4 linked regions of the Arabidopsis thaliana genome follow. The protein of the gene in region 3 interacts with the protein of the main gene of each other region in a biochemical or structural test. Each region holds a gene or a part of one and is shown on either strand. Other genes may lie near its edges. The genes, in order: AL2, AL7, RING1A and AL6.

The links.
Region 1: the proteins of RING1A (region 3) and AL2 form a complex in vitro, tested with the Arabidopsis thaliana proteins (one study listed by BioGRID).
Region 2: the proteins of RING1A (region 3) and AL7 form a complex in vitro, tested with the Arabidopsis thaliana proteins (one study listed by BioGRID).
Region 4: the proteins of RING1A (region 3) and AL6 form a complex in vitro, tested with the Arabidopsis thaliana proteins (one study listed by BioGRID).

The regions. Positions count from the first base shown.
Region 1 is NC_003074.8:3,507,398-3,513,038, reverse strand, and holds AL2 (alfin-like 2), read left to right. Parts: upstream 1-2,380; 5' UTR 2,381-2,620; coding exon 2,621-2,720; exon of another isoform or gene 2,721-2,821; coding exon 2,822-2,854; coding exon of another isoform or gene 2,855-2,937; coding exon 2,938-3,160; intron 3,161-4,188; coding exon 4,189-4,312; intron 4,313-4,391; coding exon 4,392-4,652; 3' UTR 4,653-5,043; downstream 5,044-5,641. Other genes in the region: AT3G11210 (SGNH hydrolase-type esterase superfamily protein), read left to right, coding at 140-250, 490-567, 1,019-1,159, 1,263-1,339, 1,431-1,580, 1,725-1,938.
Region 2 is NC_003070.9:4,960,465-4,966,537, reverse strand, and holds AL7 (alfin-like 7), read left to right. Parts: upstream 1-2,022; 5' UTR 2,023-2,383; coding exon 2,384-2,480; intron 2,481-2,695; coding exon 2,696-2,728; intron 2,729-3,243; coding exon 3,244-3,472; intron 3,473-3,872; coding exon 3,873-3,999; intron 4,000-4,094; coding exon 4,095-4,367; 3' UTR 4,368-4,757; downstream 4,758-6,073. Other genes in the region: AT1G14500 (Ankyrin repeat family protein), read right to left, coding at 4,758-5,471, 5,567-6,073. UniProt on the Arabidopsis thaliana protein: Histone-binding component that specifically recognizes H3 tails trimethylated on 'Lys-4' (H3K4me3), which mark transcription start sites of virtually all active genes.
Region 3 is NC_003076.8:17,835,044-17,841,742, forward strand, and holds RING1A (RING 1A), read right to left. Parts: upstream 4,212-6,699; 5' UTR 4,072-4,211; coding exon 3,756-4,071; intron 3,684-3,755; exon of another isoform or gene 3,653-3,683; coding exon 3,607-3,652; intron 3,195-3,606; coding exon 3,136-3,194; intron 3,059-3,135; coding exon 3,028-3,058; intron 2,928-3,027; coding exon 2,885-2,927; coding exon of another isoform or gene 2,846-2,884; intron 2,777-2,845; coding exon 2,760-2,776; intron 2,668-2,759; coding exon 2,547-2,667; intron 2,466-2,546; coding exon 2,424-2,465; intron 2,338-2,423; coding exon 1,786-2,337; intron 1,688-1,785; coding exon 1,580-1,687; intron 1,416-1,579; coding exon 1,206-1,415; intron 1,105-1,205; coding exon 1,072-1,104; 3' UTR 806-1,071; downstream 1-805. Other genes in the region: AT5G44270 (TPX2 (targeting protein for Xklp2) protein family), read left to right, coding at 67-173, 256-315, 403-497, 598-697; AT5G44290 (Protein kinase superfamily protein), read right to left, coding at 5,707-5,844, 5,927-6,250, 6,340-6,555, 6,633-6,699. UniProt on the Arabidopsis thaliana protein: Putative E3 ubiquitin-protein ligase that mediates monoubiquitination of 'Lys-119' of histone H2A (H2AK119ub), thereby playing a central role in histone code and gene regulation. As part of the PRC1-like complex, repress class I KNOX gene expression.
Region 4 is NC_003071.7:650,560-656,087, reverse strand, and holds AL6 (alfin-like 6), read right to left. Parts: upstream 3,513-5,528; 5' UTR 3,252-3,512; coding exon 3,155-3,251; intron 2,981-3,154; coding exon 2,948-2,980; intron 2,767-2,947; coding exon 2,538-2,766; intron 1,953-2,537; coding exon 1,826-1,952; coding exon of another isoform or gene 1,752-1,825; coding exon 1,467-1,751; 3' UTR 1,103-1,466; downstream 1-1,102. Other genes in the region: LOV1 (NAC domain containing protein 35), read right to left, coding at 5,439-5,528. UniProt on the Arabidopsis thaliana protein: Histone-binding component that specifically recognizes H3 tails trimethylated on 'Lys-4' (H3K4me3), which mark transcription start sites of virtually all active genes.

The sequences.
Region 1 (5,641 bases), on a different chromosome or scaffold from region 3:
CGCACCTTACGACAAAGAGTGAGAGAGAGGATCGCTCAGGTTTGTTCATCTTCACCGGACGATTAGCTTTTGCGGTGGGAGAAAGAACGGCCTGTCTTCAGCTCTGAAACAGAGGAACAGAGAGGTTAGGAAGGAGACAATGGTTGGACCCGCGCGGCCTCAGATCGTTTTGTTTGGATCTTCCATTGTTCAGATGAGCTTTGGCCATGGTGGTTGGGGCGCCATTCTTTCCGAGGTCTACGCTCGTAAGGTATCGTCAGATTCATCAATCTCTCTCTCTCTGTGGCTTCTGGATTCGATATTCATCCTTGGTTAGATTACTAGAGCGTTGATTCTACAAGTAGATCGCTTATTCTAATTACTCTGTATTATTTATTATTTTCCCTAACTATACATTTGTTCATTGAAATTCGTCTTTTGTTTTACGATTGTAAGCGTGTATTATGCGAACCATAATGTTATTTCTCCATTTGGATGTTATGTGTATAGGCCGACATCATTCTGCGAGGATATTATGGATGGAACTCTTCTCGTGCTTTGGAAGTTGTCGACCAAGTGTTCCCCAAGGTACTCTTTCAACTCCCTTTTTTTTTGCTTCTTCTCTCTTTAGACTATTAGTTTCTTCAATACTAGATTATGATAAAGATTCAGCGTTTTATAGGTCTTTATATTAGTCCGTATAGGTTGATGTGTGCTTATCATTTGACCTAGTAAGAATTCTTTGTGAACATTATTTTACTAGTTCAAAATGTACCCCAAAAGGATTACACAAGTGGCTATTTTAGTTGCATAGTCTTTGATTTAGCATACAAGACTCTGCATCTGTTTCAAGGGAGATGTCTCTGTTTAAGCATAATCTGTTTCATCCGAGTTTTCTTGATATCTCAAGCTGTTTTCTCTTACCCATTATAAAAAAAATTTGGTAGAATGAGCTTAACTTTGTAGAAAACCATCATATTCAAAGCTTCTGTTTTCTTCCACTTTGTCGCCTAAAAATTGCAACTTGTTACGGATGCAGGATGCTGCAGTACAACCTTCTCTGGTCATTGTCTATTTTGGAGGAAACGACTCAATGGCGCCTCACTCGTCTGGACTAGGACCTCATGTACCACTTACTGAATATGTTGATAACATGAAGAAGATCGCTCTTCATCTTCAGGTTTATACTTCCTTTATAATTGTTAGATTTATTATTTATCTCCTGTCAGTCACGTTTAAAAGCCATTTCAAGTGCTAATTTCTTCCTCTATTTTCTGTTTCAGAGCCTTTCAGACTTCACCCGAATCATATTTCTTAGTTCTCCTCCAGTGGATGAGGCTAAAGTTCGCCAGAACCAAAGGTAACTTCCCTGAATTTCTTCACTATCTCTCTGTTTCTCCTTATTCTCTCCGGCCTTATTAATATAGATGTGCTTCTTTTTCTCTCACAAGCCCATACTTGAGCGAGGTAATCCGCACAAACGACCTCTGCAAGACTTATTCAGATGCTTGTGTAGAGCTGTGCCAAGAACTCGGCCTAGAAGTAGTTGATCTCTTCTCTACTTTTCAGAAAGCAGATGACTGGAAAACTGTTTGCTTCACGTAAGTATTTTTTGAGTTCTGAAGAAATATAGAGAGACCTTTGATATATATGACTTTCTCAGAGTTTCCAAATGCGATAACCGGGAATGGAGTATCGACGATGTTCATTGAAATGTTTTAACGGTATAGTCTGGTTTGTTACAGAGACGGGATTCATTTGTCAGCACAAGGAAGCAAAATAGTAGCGGGAGAGATACTAAGAGTGGTTAAAGAAGCGGAATGGCATCCATCACTTCACTGGAAATCAATGCCAACAGAATTCGCAGATGACTCTCCTTATGATCTTGTATCAGCAGATGGCAAACAGACAGTAAATTCTTCAGAATGGACTTATTTCTGGGAAGAACAATGGGACTAAACATTTCAACACACACAACAACAACAACAAGACCCTATCTTCACATAATTCACTGTCTTAATGTGATAAAGCTTTGCTTTAGATTGTTTACATTACAAGTGTCTCTGCTATAATCTGATTCAGTTTCGCTCGAAAAACGTTACCATTTTAAAGTTTATACTTATCTAAATCTTAAATCACAGAAACACACCAAGTTTGTGTTCAAGTAATTTCTTTTTTTCTTGTTTACATTTTACAGACATTAACAAATGTCTGAAACTCATCACATAACACTCCTCCAGACAGGGGTTTAGTGTTTTGAAGGTAAAATCACAAAGTAACTAAATTTGGGCCGATAACAAAAAAGTCGCTTAGGAGATTGGACTTATTTGGGCCTAAAACCTAACACTTAAGGGCCCAACTAAAATGCCATTTACCTAAAAAGCGACGCATCTTCGTCTACTACCAAACCTTTTCGCTGACGCAACCAAACTCCCAAAAATAAAAATAAAGTTTTTATTTTCTCTCTCTCTCTTATTTTTCTTCTCCTTCTTGTTCCGTCTGCTTCTCTCCATCTCCTTCCATATCTATTGTTCTCTCTCTCTTCATGCCCGAACGCATCGGGTCTCAAAAACCATTGATACAGACATCGATCCTTGTCAACTAGTACTGATCTATAAATCTTATAAAAATCTGTAGAGATATGGCCGCCGCAGCCGTTTCCTCTAACCCTCGCACCGTTGAAGAGATCTTCAAAGATTATTCCGCTCGTCGTGCCGCTCTTCTTCGTGCTCTCACTAAAGGTCTAAATCCTCTCTCTCTCTCTTTCTCTAAATTTCCCAGATTTCTTCGTAATGCCTTTGGATTCGTCCTTTAACTTGTTCGTTTTTGTGATTTTTTCCAGATGTTGATGATTTTTACTCTCAATGCGATCCGGGTATGAAAGATTTCGACTTTTAGATACCCTTTTATGTGTTTTATTGAGATTTGATTTCAATTTTTGGGTGTTTGTGGTTATAGAAAAGGAGAATTTGTGTTTGTACGGACACCCTAATGAGTCATGGGAAGTGAATCTACCAGCAGAGGAAGTGCCTCCGGAGCTACCTGAGCCTGCTCTTGGTATCAATTTCGCTAGAGATGGTATGCAGAGGAAAGATTGGCTTTCTCTTGTTGCTGTTCACAGTGATTGTTGGTTGCTCTCTGTTTCTTTCTACTTTGGAGCCCGTCTTAATCGCAATGAGAGGTATTTCTCTTTTTCCCAACATTTTGATTCTGCATTCTCATTGTTTTGTGTTTTCTTAAGCCATGTCTCCAACTTTTACTTGATTTCAATGGATTCTGTGTTGTTCTTACATGAAACCCCATAGTTGTTTTCCATCCTGGCTCTTCTCATGTGAAGTAAAAATTGAAACTTTGTGATGATGATGGAGTTCGTTTGGAATGAGATTGTCTTTGAATTTGCGTGAAATGAGTTTTGTTTTGTTTTGTTTTTTTCGCTATTCGTCATTCATATCTATGGAGTATTGTTTGTTGCATGACTTCATCTGTCTAAACTTTTTCTCAGCTCTTTTGGATATTGTAATGGCTAAACTTGAAACTTGATTATCCTCCCTAATTTTAAAAGCCTGGTATTTGCTATTCTATGAAATCTGAAAACGGATATTCTGTGGTCGCATGTGCTGAATTTCACCATTTCATTGTTACATCTGAACACCCATCTTAGTAACTATGGAATCCAAAGAACTTTACTGACAAAGGTTTTGTGAAAGTTAAATTTTGACAAAAAAAATTGCTATTTGATTAGTACTAATGAGATCATTTTACTGTCTGTCTGTCATATATTCTAGAAAACAATGTTATTTTGGTTATTATCTGTTTCATTGTTCTTCAAGAGAGAAGTAGTTGTTGGCATTTAGATAGGTTTCAATTAAAGGTGCAAGAAACTGGACTTTGTTTTCTCAACCAGTAGTTTCACTATACCATTAACAAGTCTCTAAAGTGATCCTCTACCATTTTAGTCCTCTATCTTATTTACACTAGACTAGTAAAAAGCATTTCGTAAGATGCATTTCCAAGGATAGAGAATTTAACCCGACAGAGCTGCAAACAAATAATGCTAGATAAAACATCACAATTGTGTGTTGTACTGATATGAAGATTCTGGTTCGTTTTTCCTCACTTTCGCTTGCTAATCTAGTTCTTAGCTTATCTTAGCTGCCTTTTTCAATGTGTTGTCCACTCATGGAGTTATATTATTCTTTTGATTTGCAGGAAGCGGTTATTCAGTCTGATCAACGATCTCCCAACTCTCTTCGATGTAGTGACTGGTAGGAAAGCCATGAAAGACAACAAGCCAAGCTCGGACTCAGGAAGCAAATCCAGAAATGGCACTAAGGTACACAAAATAAGGAGCCTCCTTTCTTCTTTTTTGTTATCTGGTTTCCCTCTTTGAAATCAAAAATCGTAATTAGCAGAGATCAATAGACGGGCAGACAAAGAGCTCAACACCGAAACTAATGGAAGAGAGCTATGAGGAGGAGGAAGAAGAAGACGAGCATGGAGACACTCTCTGTGGAAGCTGTGGAGGTCATTACACAAATGAGGAGTTCTGGATTTGCTGTGATGTTTGTGAACGTTGGTACCATGGAAAATGCGTCAAGATAACTCCGGCTAAAGCAGAGAGCATCAAGCAGTATAAATGCCCGCCTTGCTGTGCAAAGAAAGGAAGACAGTGATGCTGATCAATTGATGATGATGATGATGATGATCTCTCAGAGAGACTCTGGTTCTCATGTTTTAATCAATATGTTAATCAACTTTTTTTCTTTTCTTCTCTTTTTTTCTTTAACCTTCTTAATTTTAAAGCATACAAAACTCTCTCTTTAGATCTCAAGAAAGGGATTTCAAGAAGTTGAGGGAGAGAGTAGCAAACTGTTTGAATAATATTATTATTATTCATATTAAAAAAAAAAAAACTGGGTTGTGTCATCAATTGTGTTGTGTCATGGGGTTTGTATATGTTAGACTTAGTCAAATCTTTAAGCTTCGAACCGAATTTTGAACAAATATGTTTTTAATCTTCTGTTAGGTCTTTTATCTGTCTTAAGATATTGTTTTTCATAATTTTAAAGAATATTATTATCCAATATTATGTGATATGTCAAAGTGATAGTCTTCTCATTTGGCCGGAATTGTAAAGAGCCAACATGTTTTCCAAGTTCTAAAGGGCAAGTAAATGTGATCGCAAGCCTTAGAATTGGTAAGTTTTATAATTAACCATCAAGATTGTCACAAATCATCTCTAAATCCAAATCTAAATTTTTCAATCAAATTTGCGACAATAATCAAATATTTTTATTTTTTAAAAAAAAAAATACTATTTATTTAGCATCATACTCAATAAGAAATTCATGAAATGTTAATAGTTGACAATCGACTGAATTTAACTAAATTTTAAACTCATCGACTGAATATTTATTCGACGATAATGATTTGTAGCCTAGTGTTTTGGTTTGTGCTAATTAATGCATGTTGATGATAATAATAATAACAATGATCAATATTCAAAATCAATACAAATCAATTTATAAATGTGATCATGCATGTATGTAATATCAAGAAGGGCGATCCCAAGTAAAGCCAGCATGAAGATCACAAATTCACAATACAAAAATCTTAGTTTTGGGTATTCAAAGTGATATCCGTCCAATCTTCTTCGTAAACG
Region 2 (6,073 bases), on a different chromosome or scaffold from region 3:
GGTACTTACTTGACTTTTGTTGGCGAGGTAAGGGAACCCCATGTTCCTTTTGGTTCTTCTTTATTCAGGAAATAATGTGGAATCTTTAAGAATATTGGTGTTTTCGGGGATGTGCAAGCTAAGTTACATCTGATTTCGTCCCTCTTTATAGGATTGGCTTTCCTTCGGGTGGAAGGCAAAGATTGTTGAAATGCTTGGAGAGGCTACTGGCATACTTGCCTCGGTGATGCAAGATACACTGAAACTTTTTAGTTTATGGTCCTTATATTTTTATTATGTTTTAAATATGACCCATAACTTTTGTAATTACAACTATTGCCCCATTATCCTCGAGCTTAATTAACTAAGACTAGTAAAATCATTTGTGAGCCCTTTCGTAATCAAATTTCAGACCAGGTTTACCCGAACTCCATTATATTATGCGAACCGTATTTCAGTGACAAAATGTTGAAAAGTTTTTCTCATCGAATTTCGGGGTTGAGGGCCTTGTGTTGAAATGATTTGGTTGAAGATTTCGGATGATGATCTCCATAATCAATTGTGGGCTTCAGGTGGATGGACGGAGAAGACCACTGCGTTATGGGCTTCGTTGATTTCAAATTGGGCGTTTTCGTGAGATTAGGCCCATTGTTGAATAGTCAGCTTGATTTTGTTGCCTTAGTATTTTACAAAAATTGTTGACTGGTCAGCTGATACTACATTATTCATCGAATGTTTATGAATCTATTACGAATGAACCTTGAGAGAAAGATAGTTTGTTATGAATTCATTCCACATTGGTATTACAATAGATTGATTCGAACTTATACTTATTATATCTAATAAGTACATATTAGAAGTTAACTAATAGTTAGCTAACTTGGAAGGCGAGTCATGTGACAGTAGCATATTTTTAATATTGATTAATAACATGTTTACAAAGTTAATAGTCTACTTTTATTAATGTGGCAAGTACGTGAATGTGTTCCTAATCCTAATTATTCGTAAATATATTTAAATTTTATTAGTTAAACTACCTTTTAATTAATCAAACAATACGAAACTCCATCAAACAACTTTATACAAAAGAACGACACTTACATCCCAAATTAGACAACCATGTTAAAAAATGCTGTATGCAAATAGCTCATTAGACCATGATGAAGAGCAAACCAAACAAATACATATTGTTTTAAAATCATTTCCATGTGTCATCTGATGATTCAACATGTCAATAAGGTCGAAACGTGAAATGGAGCAAACTGATTCTTAGACAACATCCGGAAACTTAATTATTGGTATGAAGATCAAAATGTTTCTTTGGTTTCGACGTTATACCATTAATCTTTCTGCTAAGTATCTGACAACTTGTGATACACGTCAAGTATCTCCCAACTGTGACTAACTTCTTCTTCTTTTTTTCTTCTTCATAAAAACAACTGATTGTTCTTTTGAGGATAAAAGCATCAACGCCTCATTTTACTTACTTACCCGCAAATTCTAATCTGCAAAAAGATAGGAAATACATAGTCATCCATCCTAATGTAGTTCTAACTTCTATGTATTAAAGCTTTGTAGAGTTTGATTTGAATATAATTCACATGAAAATTAACAAAAACATGTAAAACAGTAGTATAAACAAAACCAAAATAATAACAAAAAACATTAACGATTAAACAAATCAGATAAAGACCCTCGCTCTCTCTACGGTATTAAGCTTGAAGCATTCTTTTTAACTATTAGTAGTATAATTTAACTCATTATTAACTAGAGATTAATGACAGAATATTGTAAAACCATCAATTTTGTTTAAAATCATTATTTTTTTTTAATCTTTAGCCTTTCCATTATATTGATCGACAGATATGGATATTATAGTACAGTTCTTAAACGTTAATCACAGTAAAACTGGCAGAAATTTACTGTATTATTACTTCAGTTCGTTGTAGAACATGCCTCAGGAAAAAAAAGCGCACATAAATATTGACCCAAAACAAAAGAAAAGTAAAACGACTTTATATTTCTGGAGTGAATTAAATAAATAGATAAATACAGGTTGTGACTTTAAAAAAAAAAAAAAAAAGTTGAGATGTTGTCGCTTTAATCTATTCTTCCAATGCTTCCAAATCCCTCAAATTGTCTTTTGTCTCCTTTCCTTTTCGTTTTTAGGGTTTTTTTTTCTTAGCACAGCTCTCTCTTCTCAATTTCCCCAAATGAAATAAATTCCTCCGAAAGTTTATAGATTTCACTCTCCCCCGAACTATACAAAATTCCCTCAAAAGGAAAAACTAAAAAGCCGATCTTGGCTTTTTTGTTTCTGAGTGCATCTCGATACTTGGAAGCATTCTTTGGTGAGGCTGATTCATTCTCATCTGTGAAAGTCTTTGGCTTTTGAAGCAATACTATGGAAGGAATTCAGCATCCTATACCTCGCACTGTCGAAGAGGTTTTTAGCGACTTTCGTGGTCGTAGAGCTGGTCTCATCAAGGCTCTCTCTACTGGTCAGCTCGATCTCTCTTTCTCTATTTACTCTGTTTCTTTTGATCGAATCTTAGATGATTTCTGTAGATTTGCGAGTTTTTTTTATATGTTTAGTGCTCGTTTCTTCAATTGGGTTTTCTTAATTTCCTGAGAAAAAAACCCCCAAAAGATTTTGGCTTTCTTCTTCCTGTTTTGGGTTTATTCATGTTCTTTTGTTGTGTGTTTTGTTTTGCAGATGTACAGAAGTTTTACCATCAGTGTGACCCTGGTGAGTTATTTCGTTACCCATTTAAAGTCTTGTATATAGCTTCCTAACGCATTGGTTCTTATCTTGTTTATAGGAAGATGTGTTTTTTTTTTTTTTGCTAAAGTTAAGATTTTTCAGTGCAAGAGTTCCTTTCGGGTCTGAATTAGGGAAGAGATTGTAATTGGACATGCGTTTTTTTTGCTTCATGAGTTTGTTCACGGATTCTTTTTGTTCCCAGCTTTTGTTTTTCTAAATTCTGTTAGATTGTTTTAGTTAGCTTCTTCCTGATTACATCTAATCTGCAGTAGACTTGTTGTTATGATCCTTTTTCTAGTTGACTCCTCTGTTAGGTGTTATATCTTTGATTATCTTCCTGTCAGAGTTGTTGTCTGTTTGAACAGTTTTTTTGGTTCATGATGTTTGAACAGATTATAGACTTTTTAAGTGTTTGTGAGATTTGTACCTAAGATGAAGTTAGTTCTCTTTGTGGTTTCTCTTCTTGACTTCTTAGTGAATTACGTTTTTTGCTAATGCAGAGAAGGAAAACTTGTGTCTTTATGGACTTCCAAATGAGACATGGGAGGTTAATCTTCCCGTTGAGGAGGTCCCTCCTGAGCTTCCTGAACCAGCGTTAGGCATCAATTTCGCAAGGGACGGAATGCAAGAAAAAGACTGGATTTCTTTGGTTGCAGTTCACAGTGATTCATGGCTTATCTCTGTTGCATTTTACTTTGGTGCACGTTTCGGATTTGGCAAGAATGAGAGGTAAGTTTCTTTCTCTGCTCAGTGTTCTGTGTTTGTTAATTTTGCTTGTTTGGTAAAGCTTCAATGACTAGTATAGTAGCTGCATAATTCTAGCATCCAAACACCGTGTAGTTGTTGTTGTAGATACTAGTGACGATCTCTGGCACACTAAACTCATGTTATCCTGTTTCTGTGAAACAACCCTGAAGAAGTGATCATCATTTTTTCTCCTTCAGTAGAGAGAAGTGAACCTACAAATGTATTGAATTCCATCTAAGCTGAACCAAAATTTATTGAGATTTAAGAATTTAGGTCAAAGATCATGTTTGTTGAATAGCCAAGTAACATTGTTTGTTTTCTCTGATATTATAGACTCAAATGGTTTAGTTATCTTGCCTCTGATCTTATTAATTCCTTTCAGGAAGAGGCTCTTCCAGATGATAAATGATCTCCCAACCATTTTCGAGGTTGTAACTGGCAATGCAAAGCAATCCAAGGATCAATCTGCTAACCACAACAGTAGCAGAAGCAAATCTAGTGGTGGCAAGGTAGAAGCTTCTGTTTTCTCTTTTTTTTCGCCCTCTCAGTCCATGTATCTGTGTTGGGTTCTTATCTCTACTTACTCCTTTGTTTTCTAATGCAGCCTCGTCATTCTGAATCTCACACTAAGGCTTCAAAGATGTCCCCTCCACCAAGAAAAGAAGATGAGAGCGGAGATGAGGATGAAGATGACGAGCAAGGTGCTGTTTGTGGTGCGTGTGGCGACAACTATGGAGGAGATGAGTTCTGGATATGTTGTGATGCTTGCGAGAAATGGTTCCATGGGAAATGCGTGAAGATCACACCAGCAAAGGCTGAGCATATCAAACATTACAAATGCCCAAGTTGCACTACCAGCAAGAAAATGAAAGCCTGAAAGTGATAATAACATTAGAGCCTGTGAAAGAGGAAAACGTTTTCACAGTTTAAGAAGACAGTACAAGAGTTTAGCTGTGGGAAGAAGAAGAAACAAAAGGCTTCTGATTGCGTAGTTTTAATGGGATTGAGACAGCTTACAGTTAGTAATGTCTCTTTCTCTTTTCTTTTCTTTTTTTTTGCTGTTAATGTTAAAATGTTATGACTAATTTGTCTTAAGTTTCTGAGAAAATTCTGTCTTTTAAGCACTCTCTAGTCTATGTCAAGTGGTTTCTTCTTCTCGGTATCTCACTTGCTTTAAAAGTTTTAAACTTTGGCTCCCGATGAAACTCATTAAGCTGATTACCTCATAGAACATGACATTCAATAACAATTTGTCGAGGTTATATCTTTAGATTCTCAAAGTCCCTCTCTGTTTCACAAATGTAACAAACATTCGATTTACTGCAGCCTTCAGATGGCTCAGCCTCAGGGCTATGAAAATTTCCATAAAGAGATACATAGGAAAGAGCAGGTACAAGGTAAAGGCCGCACAAAGAAACAATAGAGGGTTGGGTGAGATTATAGCCATAGCAAGCGCATAAGAAACTCCCAGAGACGCTCCAATCCAAAAGAACCATGTTGTAAACAAGCTACCGATTGGTAGGAGACAAAACGTGTAGAGTAGAGCGCAACAGAAGCCTATAGTGTTAGAAACCCAAAGGACGATGAAGAATGTCTGTTTCATTACTGCGGTACCACCACCCTCGGACTGGTGTACACCTCCTGGAGGCTGGAGTGCAGTTTGATAAGTGGATGTGAGTATCAAAGTACATATAATCAAGAAGACTGCACGGCCTTCTTCTGAAGTGTCGGACCTTAGGCGTCTGATGCCAATGGAGCAATGAGCCAAGAAAGTGACTGGTGACTTAAACTGATCAGACGGTTTCTCGAGTTGCGGAAGAGAAGCCGCCTCCTTGCACCCGGTTTTTACAACAACTTGTTCCAAATCCTTATCCAAGTCTCTACTCTGTCCATTGTTTCTTAAGATATCAAGGAATGTTAAACCATCCGCATTTACTTCGTTCAGTTTCACCAGCTGACACTGTAGCAGCAGTTTTACCGCCTGCATACATATCTTTTATACTCAGGCCAATTTTGACACAACATGACAGAAAACATACAAAACTAAAAAAAGTTTAGTAGCTTTAAGAACTATACCTGATGATCTTCCTTATATGCTGCAAGATGCAAAGGCGTGTTGTGTGCTAAATCTTTTCTATTCAAGAAATCAGATTCGGTGGAAGCAGAATCTTTTTGGCTCATTCTTTGGAGCCAACCGGTGAGGACTTGAAGAATTTCAAATCTATCATTCATCACAGCAAGGTGAAGAGCGTTATGGCCATTCACACTCACATCTTGAATACATACAGGGCAATACTTGAGACACTCTGCTACAAGATTTACGTCTCCTCTAATCGCTAAGAGATGGAAAGGTGTGATTCCTTCTCTCCCTTTAACGCGAACAAGTCCGGGATCACGCCAAAGCAGCCATGTTATAAACTCTCTATGATCTTTTTCCACAGCAAGATGCAATGGACTGTAGCCACTTGTGTTCAGCTTTCTGGCAAACGATGGCTTAAGATTCAGCATCTCCATGGCAAATGGAATGTTGTCAGAAGCTGCAGCTACATGGAGCGGAGTGTTAACAAATGGCACGGCATTGAT
Region 3 (6,699 bases):
TTTCCTTTACATATTCAAAGACTCAAATAATTTCTGTGAATTCTCACCTGACTGGCTGACTCAGAGATCAAATTTCTGTTCTGGATAAACTAAAGGCCTCTTACAGAATTTTTCAAGAGTTTAATCTGCATGTGGACCATCGGCCTATCGAAAGGGCAGACTTTGACCATAAAGTAAGCTTATCTAACTCGATCAGCAGATTAAAAGAAACCTTTTGATTTCTCAACTAACTTGTTCTATCATCTTTGGTTCCAGATCAAAGAGAAAGAGATGATGTACAAGAGACATCTCGAAGAGGCGGAAGCCGCAAAAATGGTATAATACTATAAATTTTCTGCCAAGTATAGATGTATCTAATAAAAGAGTATGATAGTAAATGTATTTTACCTAAAACTTTGTCAGGTAGAGGAAGAGAGAGCTCTAAAACAACTGAGAAGGACAATCGTTCCTCAAACCAGACCAGTGTCAAACCTTAACAACCCATTCTTACCTCACAAGTAAGTTCTGATCCAAACCAGGAGTTGATTTCTTCTTTTCTGTTCTTGATTTTTACCTACACTTGTTAAACAAAGAAAACTCCATGTCAATTAAACACAGGTCGAACAAGGAGACGACAAAACCAAATTCACCAAAGCTTAGAGTGATTAGAAGAATCGACAGGAGAACAATGATGATGGTTTCTCCTCACATGAGGTAGCTGTTAAAAAGTAAAAAAGACTAAGCAGCAGCAGATATTGCTGTTCAAGAACGTTTGAACCGCACCAACCGCTCAACGTCTCCATTATAAAATGAGGCAGTAGCATAATCTTCCTGTGTTCTGAGACTTGACTGATATATATATAGTAAAAAAAAGGTTTCCATATAAAAACTTGCTCCGGAAATACTAAGCAACGTCTACAATGAATACACAAAGGAAAAAAGTTTGTCACAAACAAAAAACTTCCTAAATAAAAAAACCAACTGAGATATATAATCTAGCAAACGGATAAACAAAACAAGCCCTGATCCATCTGTTTATATATTATACACTGTTTGCACTTCCGCAGCACGTCCATTAGGCTCCAAGTTTCTTCACTCAGTTTGCTTCTTCCGGTAAGCTATGATCTGAAGGCACAAACCAAATAAGGAAAAAGTCTCACAAAGTTGAATCATACTTAGATTAGACTGTAAGATATTTAGATAAAAATTATTATTATTGACGCTACCAAATGTTGTTCATGGCTTGAAATGAAATCGATTTTGAGCCTTGACAATGTTTCATTGTCTTCCAAACTCAGCATCTCATCTTTAGATGCTGCTGCTGAAGCTGGAGTCACTGCAGGAAGATTCTCTATTGCCGCATCTTCTCCTACTCTTCTTCTTGTTACTAACAATTCAACCTCTTCAGTCTTCAAATGTATCTGAAGTGCAACGAACTGTACAACATTGAAAGTTGACAAATATATTAGCGTATGTGATACTGAAATCATTTTTGTTATTGAATCATATTGAAGTACTTTCGCATCAATATATATAACAAAAAACCACTTTCTACTGTGACAAGTCTGATGATAACTGTAAAGGGAGAGAGAGTGCTCACTTCACGGAGCTGTTTTACAAGCAAAGTGGGTCGGCAACAGAGATATGGCTGTGGTAAGTCTGGTATACATTTTGTATCCAGCGAGACAAGCTTGACATGAATATCCAACTGCAAGAAAGATTAAGTTTAATCGAAATCCAAACTAACTGCAATCAAAAATACAGGTCATCAAGAAGAAGAGAATCATCGTTTTTTTTCTTTGGTACCTCAACACTAGATCCATCTACGCTGCTGCGTAGATATTCAACAAGTTTGTTCACACGGGCATTCCTTACACTCTTACTACTACCTCCAGAAGTATTATTCCCATGCCTTGTGTTACTCCTTGTCCCGCCTCTTCCCCAAGCCAGTATCTCGGGATTCCACACAAGCCCGGGAGATATGCCTTTGGTGTCTCTATACACTTCTGTGTCGTTATCTGCACAGTTACCATTGTTTTTGTTTGCACCTGAAGAAGAAGGGTGTTGTGTTGAACGACTTGTAGACCGTTTTCTACGTTTCTTCTGCCGGACTTCTGTACCACGCTCATCTGAAGACGAATCTTTGTCTCTTCCTCTGTTGTTATTATCATCATTATCATCATCTTCATGAGCTTCTGATGCGTTTTGTTGTTCCATGTTTCTGCTGTTCCGTCTCCTTCTGGAGCCACTAGCAATACGCGGTGATCTCATTAAGACTGCTGCCTCTTTACCAAGAGATCGTCTTTTCACAAGAGCCTCAGATTGTCGTTGCGATATCTGAGCTATAGATGCTTGAATCTACACAAAAGCCATAAGAAGGTGATTAAGTATATTTTAAGCAATAGTCAAAAAAGTGAATAACAACATTCTCCATGGTATCCGACCTGCTTATTACGAGCCATTTCATCTTCGTGAAAAGCCAGTTCCTGAACCAAAAAAAACAAAGCGTTTTAACAGCAACAATCTCTCCAAAACAAACAAGCAGGAAAAATATGTTGATGCTTTACCTCTTCCTCATAACTATCAATATTTGTAAATAAAGCAGCAATAAGAGCATCAAATTTCGGATCGTCTCTTAGAGAACGCCGGCTTGCACAATGCTTCCTGCAAGCAGGACATTCGTTATTCCTGCAATAGAAACTTCAGTTAATATAAACTCAAAAAAAAGCTTTAGAAAAGCCAACACTTATGGCTCCCAAGAGAATGATGAAATATTTAACTTGAAAGTGGCACAGAACTGAGAAGCAAGAAGAAACGAAAACAACATAGATAATAAGAGTAAGACCCAAACAATTTGAAACCGTACCCCAATCTCATTGACTTATCAATACATTCCCGGCAGAACCTGTGGAGACATTCCATCACAGTCCTTGTTTTCTTTATAATACCTGAAAACAGGACAACAAGAAACTCGTTTCAGCCAGATGTAGTAATGTAGCTTAAAAATAGAGTGTGAACCAAATCATGCCGACTTATCTACAAGAATACGATATGAAAAGACGCAAGAATTTCATGCCGACTGAAGAAAGTAACGGCTTTCGAGCTTTAGCAAAAGTTCTGTTCCCAACGAGAAATATTCAGGACAAAATTGAGTACCTAGGCATATTGGACACTGCACGTCTTTACGGATTTCCCCTAGATCAATTTCCATAAACCTGCATGAAAAAAATGCAGACACAATTAAACAAGAAAGATCCATCCAGCTTCTTTATTCTACAGTAAAGAATCTATCTCAAGACAAAAATAAAGCTGACATTCTAAAGGTCAAGTTAAATAGAAGATGAATCATTCTTAGGACACAACTTCCAGTAATGGCCGCTATTATTCAAGGTAAAGACTTTACATTGTTTAGCCACAAGAGCGTAGAGGTTTTGAGCAGTAATACGAGAGGAATTACAACATGCAAGTGCTAAGAAGATGCATCAACAGATTACTAAATCAAGCAGAGCAATTTTAACATTTAATTGACTAGAACAACAGAAGTAAAGAAATATTGGAGTAGAGAACCCATCACAAGCTAAACACATCTGGAGAAGAGAAAGACAGAGAAATGAGAAAAATCATTACTCTGATTGGTCTCCAGATATAGAAGATGGACTTCTTTCTTTAGAATCTGAAACAGAAACAAAGAGAGAGAACCAAATCGATCACATGAACAAACACAAAACACTCTCACGTTTACACGAGAGTAGAAGAAACAAAAACACATCCTTTACCTTCTTCTTCTTCTTCTTCTTCCTCTTCTTCTTCTTCCTCTTCCTCTGCTTCTTCATCTTCCTCTGCTTCTACTTCTTCTTCCTCGTCCTCCTCTGCATCGTCACCATCATCATCTTCCTCGGCGTCGTTGGGTTTCACTACTTCTTGGTCTTCCTCCGCTTCGTCGTGTTTCACTTCCTCATCTCCTTCTTTCTCTTCTTTCGTCTCATCCTTCTCTTGTAGATCCTGTGTAGCTTCGGGGTTAAATCGGTCGCGTGGTTGGTCTGCCACATCGGGAATCTCAGCCGACGAGAAGCTATTATTCTTGACAGACATTGTAGGGACACACACTAAAGATCTTCTCTCTAAGAGAAACCCAAAAGGCTCAGCCTTTGTCTCTCTCTCTCTACGTCTCTCTCTATTCTTCTTCTTCTTCTTGTTCTGCTTCGTTTGTGTTTTTGGTTCGGTGCCGATATAGACGAAATAGGAGAAAGAAATCGGTCGAAGAAAAAAGTGAGAATTTTGGCCTCTTTTTTTTTTTTGCCATTTTTCTTCACTTTAATTAATATATCCTAATTATATTTTTTTCTTCTTAATATCTCCTAATTCTATTATTTAAACCGGATTATAAAACTTAAAAAACATAAAATCGACCGCTTTTATAAAATTGTATTGCTGTCGAAAAAAAAGAAAAATATTTAAATTTAAACCCACTTGCTCACTTGCCAAAGCCATGATTAAATTGTAAAATTGAATTTTTGACTAAAAATAATAAAATGACTAACTATAACAAAATCAAAGAGCTACGCCGTCTGTGGGGATCGAACCCACGGCCACGTGGTTAAAAGCCACGCGCTCTACCACTGAGCTAAGACGGCTATTTGTTTATCACTTTCGTTAAACTATATTTAACAAGGTTTATTGTATTAAATTAGAACAATAGACTGGGCCAAAATTGAGTAAAGAATGTTTAAGCAAGAAGGCCCAACAAAAGCAAAGGAAGAAAAAGGAAATTTGTAACCAATAAAAACAGTCCGAACTGGAATTGTACTTGTGTCCAAACAGAGAGTTTAAAGATTTTGTCTTTTTTAGTCAAACAGATAAATTTAGGGTTTCTTCTCAATCTCTTATAAATAGCTCATCTTCCGCCGTTCTTTGTACATTCATTCGATTTCTTCTTCTCGTTTCTCAATTTCGCTTCTTTTGCAATATTCCGTTTTACGAATTTTCTTTGTTTGAAATTGGTCTGAAGAATGTGATGAAAGTTGTCGATTATGTGTGATGATTCTTTAGATTCAATTGATCGATAAAAACTTCAATTCGCTACGTTCTTTCTGATTCTTCATCCCTTTAAAGAAAACAGTTTTCATAAGTTTTGTTTTTAGTAATTTCAGATTCAGTTTTTCAAGTAATCAAATTGGTGAAAGATAACATCTTGGAGAAATATGATGATAATAATCAGTAAATATCTTAGGACACCTTCTGACACAGTTTACTGTGTATGAGAATGACTTGTTAATCTGATTCTCCATATGTTTCTTCTTTCAAATCTTTATCAAACTGTTTTACTATCTTCAAGAGCCTTTTATCAGAATCTGATTGAAAGTTAGGAACTTGTAAAAATATGTAATCAGAAACAGCATACTGATAATAGGAATCTATGAAACATATATGGATATGTTATGTTATGTACACATCTCTGTAATATATGAAGAAGTGTACATACATGTAATATACACAAAGAACCAAACTCTATGATGAGTCTGTATAAATGTTATACACATCACTCTATAACCACAGAGCTTAGCTTTTTATAAGCCAACAACAATCTTTTAATCTCTATATATTACAAACAAATTTTTCAAAATCTACGAACCAAATAAGACTCTTCTTGATACAACAAGACTTGAATGGTTCTCTGTTTTTGTCCTCTGATAAAAGACTCCCAGCAAAATCATTCAGATACGTGATTTAGTTTCTGCAGTGTTTTGCTTTCTGTCTGGTGAAATCTTGGAGCTGCCGGTCGTGTTCTTCCAGCATCTGATCCACTTTTCTTGGCTGAGCCAGTAATGGACCGGACATGTACATCTTGTTATCCCCTGAATCATACTATATCTCCAAAGAGAGAGAGAGAGATAAAGACAATGTAACTGAGAAATGAGGAAAAAAATAGTCTCTTGAGATGACTTACCCAAGATGGGTCATTTGGGATTTTGGTTTGTCTTTTACTATTATCCATAGTGTCAGCTCTGTTGAATGTTCTCAATTCCTTCCTTTGCTGATCCATCATTTGTTGATCTGACCCAACATAACCGCCTCCTTGTCCTGCTGAGTTAGCCCTATATGAAGGTATTCTAGGGGCTGCATTGTCCTTCACGTATGTTAACCGACTAAGATTCCGGTTTTTCATCATCGGACCTGAGTGAGAGACTCTTCCGCTTGTTGGATTGTTGCAGGTCATGTCCTGCATTTGTCTTTGTGAATTACCCGGAACACAGCTTCTTAGATAAGGATTCTGTATTGGCCAACAAGTTTTTTTTTAAGTTAGGATTCTGATGGATCAGAGGGAACACCGAACCATAGCAGATCGAGCCTTTGTGTTACCTCCACAGCTGTTGAAAGTGATGGATTATTAGCTTTTACCGGCGGGATCAGTTTTCTTTCGTGTGATCGTCTTGTCTGAGAGTCTTGTCTCTCATGCTTCTCCTGGGTGGGTCGTTGCCTTTTCGCATCATCGCGGATTTTGGCATCAATCTCTTTGCTGGGAGGATATTTTGGTAGAGAAGATGGATCACAAGCAAACGGCTCTGTTCTGAAATACTGCTCCAAAACAACTGTGTGTTACTAATCATAATGCTTGAATGAATCACAATATCAAATATAAGCTAAACCTGTACCTCACTCTCAAGAGCTCTAGCTGCAGAGCCTCTCCGATCGGGATCTATGGAGAGTAAAGCCTCCAAA
Region 4 (5,528 bases), on a different chromosome or scaffold from region 3:
ATGAACAAAATAAACAAAATATTAAGAATTTATACATAAAAATCTGTTATTTAGGTAAATAGACAAGAGAAATAAAATATAAACTAGAAATATCCTTCTTGTTTAGATTAATTACAAAAATATCATCGATTCAAAATAACTTTAATATTTAAAAATAAGTATATAACTATTTGTTTAGCAAGCTAACATATATAATAACGTGGTAAATTTACATATTCTATGTTAAATAAATGTTTATCGATTTAAAATTATGAATCAATATTATTATTTTTATATATATCAACACAATAAAAATACATCATGTTATATAATTAAAATGATAACGATTATAATAACATTTTACATAGAATAATAACATGCTAACATACTAAATATCGAAATAATAGTTGTCTCAACATGGTAAGATAATCGATATATGAATAATAACATGGTAACATACTAAATATCGAAATAATATTTGTCTTAACACGGTAAGATAATCGATATATGGATAATATTTATTTGAACGTACTAAATGTTTCATTTAACGTACTAATGTTTCATCGAACCTTTTATTTTTAGTTTAATTAATTTAGGGGTATAATTGTCATAAAATTAAAATAGTAGAAGACAACGGTGTTTTTTTTGTCAGTTAATTATCATTATTCTGAGGATAGATAGTCATATTACCCAAAAAAAAAAAAGTAAACTAATAAATGAGTGGCATGATATATAAGCTACATGCCCAAACACACATCCTTGTCTAACATTGGGCTCAAATAGATCTAGTCAAGTAATAATTTGGGCTGTCATAATTTATCAACTTCAATCTTTTTTTTTATATATATAGCAAAAGTTCAAAAGACAACAAGATTGATGGCAATGTATATTTGCACTATGAAAAAACAATAGAAGTATTAGATAATTAATACTTGAACCATTTTTTCAAATGAAACAGTTTTTCTTTTTGACAATAATGAAACAGTTTTAAAAAAAATTAGAAGTATTAATCCTGACTGATACCTTTTGACCAATACCAATTTCATAATATATGGTGATATAATCAACTTAACTACCAATCATATGAAACAAAATAAATAGCTAAATAAAAGAGAGAGTAAGATAAAAGATGAATAAAAAGACTACATAACGACATAATAGTTTTTACAATTTTAGCAAATTACTAATCAGAAAAAAAAAAAAAAAATTACTAATCAGAACTAAAATATCTTAAACAGACCAAACAAATTAGTAGTAGAATTAACATTAACAACAACAAAAATCCAAAAAAAGAAAAGAAAAGACATCACCAACTGTAGATAGTCTCAATCCAACAATAAAGACTAAGCAATACAATTTTTTTTTTTACCTGCTTACATCTTCTAAGTCCCTTTTACTGGCATTTCTTATAAACTGGAAACTTCACCTTCTTCTTTCATAATTTTCTCCTAACTCGCTTTACCTTTTCATAATTTGGTTATTTAACTTCAAGGTCTAGCTCTCTTGTTACTGCAAGTTGGGCATTTGTAATGCTTGATGTGTTCTGCTTTTGCAGGTGTTATCTTCACACATTTTCCATGGAACCATTTCTCACACGCGTCGCAGCAAATCCAGAACTCATCTGTACCGTAGTTGTCTCCACAAGCACCACAAACCGCACCTTGTTCATCGTCTTCACTCTCATCTTCACTCTCATCTTCTTCTTCTTCTTCTTCTTTTGGCGGTGGAGATGACATCTTTGCAACCTTTGAGAGAGATTCGGATTGGCGAGACTGTTTGTGAGGAATACAAAGAGATAAAACTTAGCAGAGATTGATAAAACAAAATGGTGAAACAGAAGAGATACCTTGACGCCACTAGGTTTGCTTTTGCTATTATTGTTGTTAACAGATAGATCCTTGGACTGCTTTGCATTGCCGCTCACAACTTCGAAAATGGTTGGCAGCTCATTAATCATCTGGAACAGCCTCTTCCTGAAAAAGAATCGGTCCATGGCATAAGCTTAAAGGCAAGTGATAGCTAAGTTGTTCAAACAAACCTAATGCCAGAGAAGAATTTGATGAGATTCAGAATCAACAACTCATTCTGCTCAAGCTTTTCGTTTAACCTGTCAGCTACCAGTATCAAATAATGGATTCAGTGATTGTTGCTGAGCTCTCAACAAAGGTACAATGCAGTGGAAACTACCTAGGCTAATTACAGTGATCCTGCACAAGACTAATACAAGAAGTACTAATCAGACTTAGAGGCACATATCACATCTATTGACTAATATATCTATCTCAATAACATTGATCCAGATTGGTGCGATTCATAACTCTAGTCACTTCAAAATAGAAACTGGGAACCACTTACAAAAAGAGTTACACAGAAACCGACCCTATAAATAAGATCACGTGAGTTACAAAAATCCACACAGAGATTGTTGTATCAGACAAATAGACAAAACAAGAGGATGCTAGAATGATCATTATAACCTTACCACACATGAGTACACCCAATATTGTCATAATTGAGATGCAACACTCAAAAACACTGAGCTTGAGAAGGACCCTTACCTCTCATTCTTGCCAAATCCGAAACGTGCACCAAAGTAAAATGCAACAGAAAGCAGCCATGAATCACTGTGAACTGCGACCAAAGATACCCAGTCCTTTTCTTGCATTCCGTCTCTAGCGAAATTGATGCCTAAAGCTGGTTCAGGAAGCTCAGGAGGAACTTCCTCAACGGGTAGATTAACCTCCCATGTCTCATTTGGAAGTCCATAGAGACACAAATTCTCCTTCTCTACATAAACAAGAATGAAACACCTTAAAGAAAAACCACACAGAGGAGGACTAACTAACTCAATCTTTAACCAACACAATTCAACAACATACAAGCTCAACAACTTCAACAAAACATTTCACTAGAAACTATAGAAGCTAAGCAAGACTAATTTTTTAAAAGTTGTGAAGAAATAACTCACCAGGATCACACGTTTGGTAAAACTTCACCATATCTGCATAAACAAAACACAAAACCCAGAATCGTCAAATCTCACAAAAGAAACCCAAAATAAAAAAAGTTCTTCTTTTTTAACAAATGAAAAACCCAAATGCCACAAAATCGTAACTCTGTAGATACTTATCATTCTGATTCGCAAGTGAGAAACAAGAATCAGACCAAAACTGACCATTAGTGAGAGCTTTAATAAGACCAGCTCGTCGACCTCTGAAGTCGCTAAAGACCTCTTCAACAGTACGAGGTATTGGATGAGTAATTCCCTCCATTTCACAAACGATGTCGCCGGAGAAATCGCCGGAGAATATGAGTACTCCGGTCAAAATCAAAATCTGAGACAAATGTTTCCAGGCAAACAAAAGAAACCCAGAAGGAAAAATATTCACTTTGGGGTTTCGGATTTGGAGAAATGAAATTTGTAAATCTCTGAAAGAGAGAGTTTTTTTTTAATTTGGGGGAAATTGAGAAAAGAAAAAAAGAGAAAGGAGCTACAAACCCTAAAACGATAAAACAAAAGGGACCGATCAAAGATTAATTTTGGGGCTGAGAAGTAATATTAATAAAGACAACATTGTCTATTTTATTATTTTTGTATTAATTAAATAAAGACAACATTGTGTATTTTATTATTGTTTATGTAATAATATAAAATCTATTTATTAATTCCGATCTACATACCCTATTTTTTTCCGAGCTACATTCCCCACTCCCAAATTTTACATTATTTTTATTTTGGTCAAAGACATTTATTTAAATTTTATTTTATTTTTAAAAGTGTCGACGAAAAAAACATGTATTTTTTTTTTTTAACATATTCATTTCCATTAATATTACGAAAAAAAAACATGTTTTTATACGTAGGCTGAGGCATCCAAATTGATCCACAAATTTGGTTTTTGTTTTCAATTAACTTGACCTTAAAGATAAAAGTTAAAAGTTAAAACATTCAGGTCCATCTTGTATTGTACAGAAATAGCATGCCTGGCCCATTAAAGGATAGTGGGCTTTTATAGTAACCTAGGGGAAATGAGATTTGAAGTTTTCAACGATCATCACATTCACGTATTTTGAAAGTTTTTTTCACGATATACACCAGAAATAGATATTTTGAAAGAGAAAGCTACTAAAAAACGGAAAACATTTTGCCTTTTATCACTCAAAAAAATAAAAAATTCATCAAATTTTTAATTATTTTATTGTTTTTATGTGTGATTCTAGATGTAAGAATTAAGAAACGAACCAATATTAATCGGATTCGTTATCTTTGAATATTTTTGCGTTAAGCACGTCGTACTAGCTAGCGAATACGTTTACCGCAACTGTAATCTAATTCGTCACAGAATATCAATGATGTGGTATAATCAACTATAATCTTCTTTTTTCTTTGGGCAAAATCAACTATAATCTATGAATATATACTTACTAATATAGGTGATAGACATATATTATTTAAAATAATCTAAGAAAACATGCAAATACGGTTACATCGACCGGTTAGAAAGGGAAAAAACTTTAAAATTAGTACTTTCGTATCATATTCAAGTCAGTATATATTAGGATTTTGCCACATTACATATATTATTAAAGATTGTTAATAATTAGGATTAAAAAGACTAGTATGAGAGTTAAGTCAAGTTTAAATTTGTTTTTCTCATTGAGAAAAAGGGAACTGATTTCTTACAACATACAACTGTTCATGCTGGTCATATCTGACAAAATCACGGGAACAACTGCTCTTACCAAATATTGCACGTCCTATGCTTTTTTTTTTTGTCAAACCCTAATTAGTCTTATATTTACAAAGACAAAAAACTAGCTAACATCTTTTATCTTTATATATTTCTATCTCAAAATTAGTTGTTGAATTCTTAAGAGTTAGTGGATTGTTTATCTATAAAGTCGCACTAACAGGTAACTAAAATTAAACATCTTGGATCTAATGCATGTAAATGACAATGCAAAATGAATTCTAATAAGTGATGAATAAACAACAAAAAATATCAACATTCAATTTGAAATTTTGAAATGGAATGAAGACCAAATTAAATATCACTAGGTTGGATTTACGGTTACTATTGTTATGGTTTAGTTAGTGTTTGGTTTTAGTCTGGTTTCGGTTAGGGCTCGTACATGAAAATCTAATCCAATAAGTTTATTTCTTCTTTGGTTTGTTTGAGAACTTTTGATACGGATTGCACTCCTTAGTCATTTTGTATTCATATATTACAGTGAATTTTTTTTTTTTAACTACGTTGAATCTAGCTTAAAGAAATTAACTTTAACACAAGAAAAAAAAAACTACTTAATTGACTATATATGTTGAGAATCAGTTCCATTACATAAACTCGCAGTAATCAATCATTGTCTATCGCCATAACAATATATAAGGAGTATGAAAATATGGCAAAGCAGCATTAATAATTATTGTCATGGATAATAATCATGATCTAATTAAATTACTTAAAAGGAATATTAGTATAGTGATCTCTGTTTCCATCTGGTACTATTGGATTCCACATATCCCACAAAGCATTGTTTGGAATCGT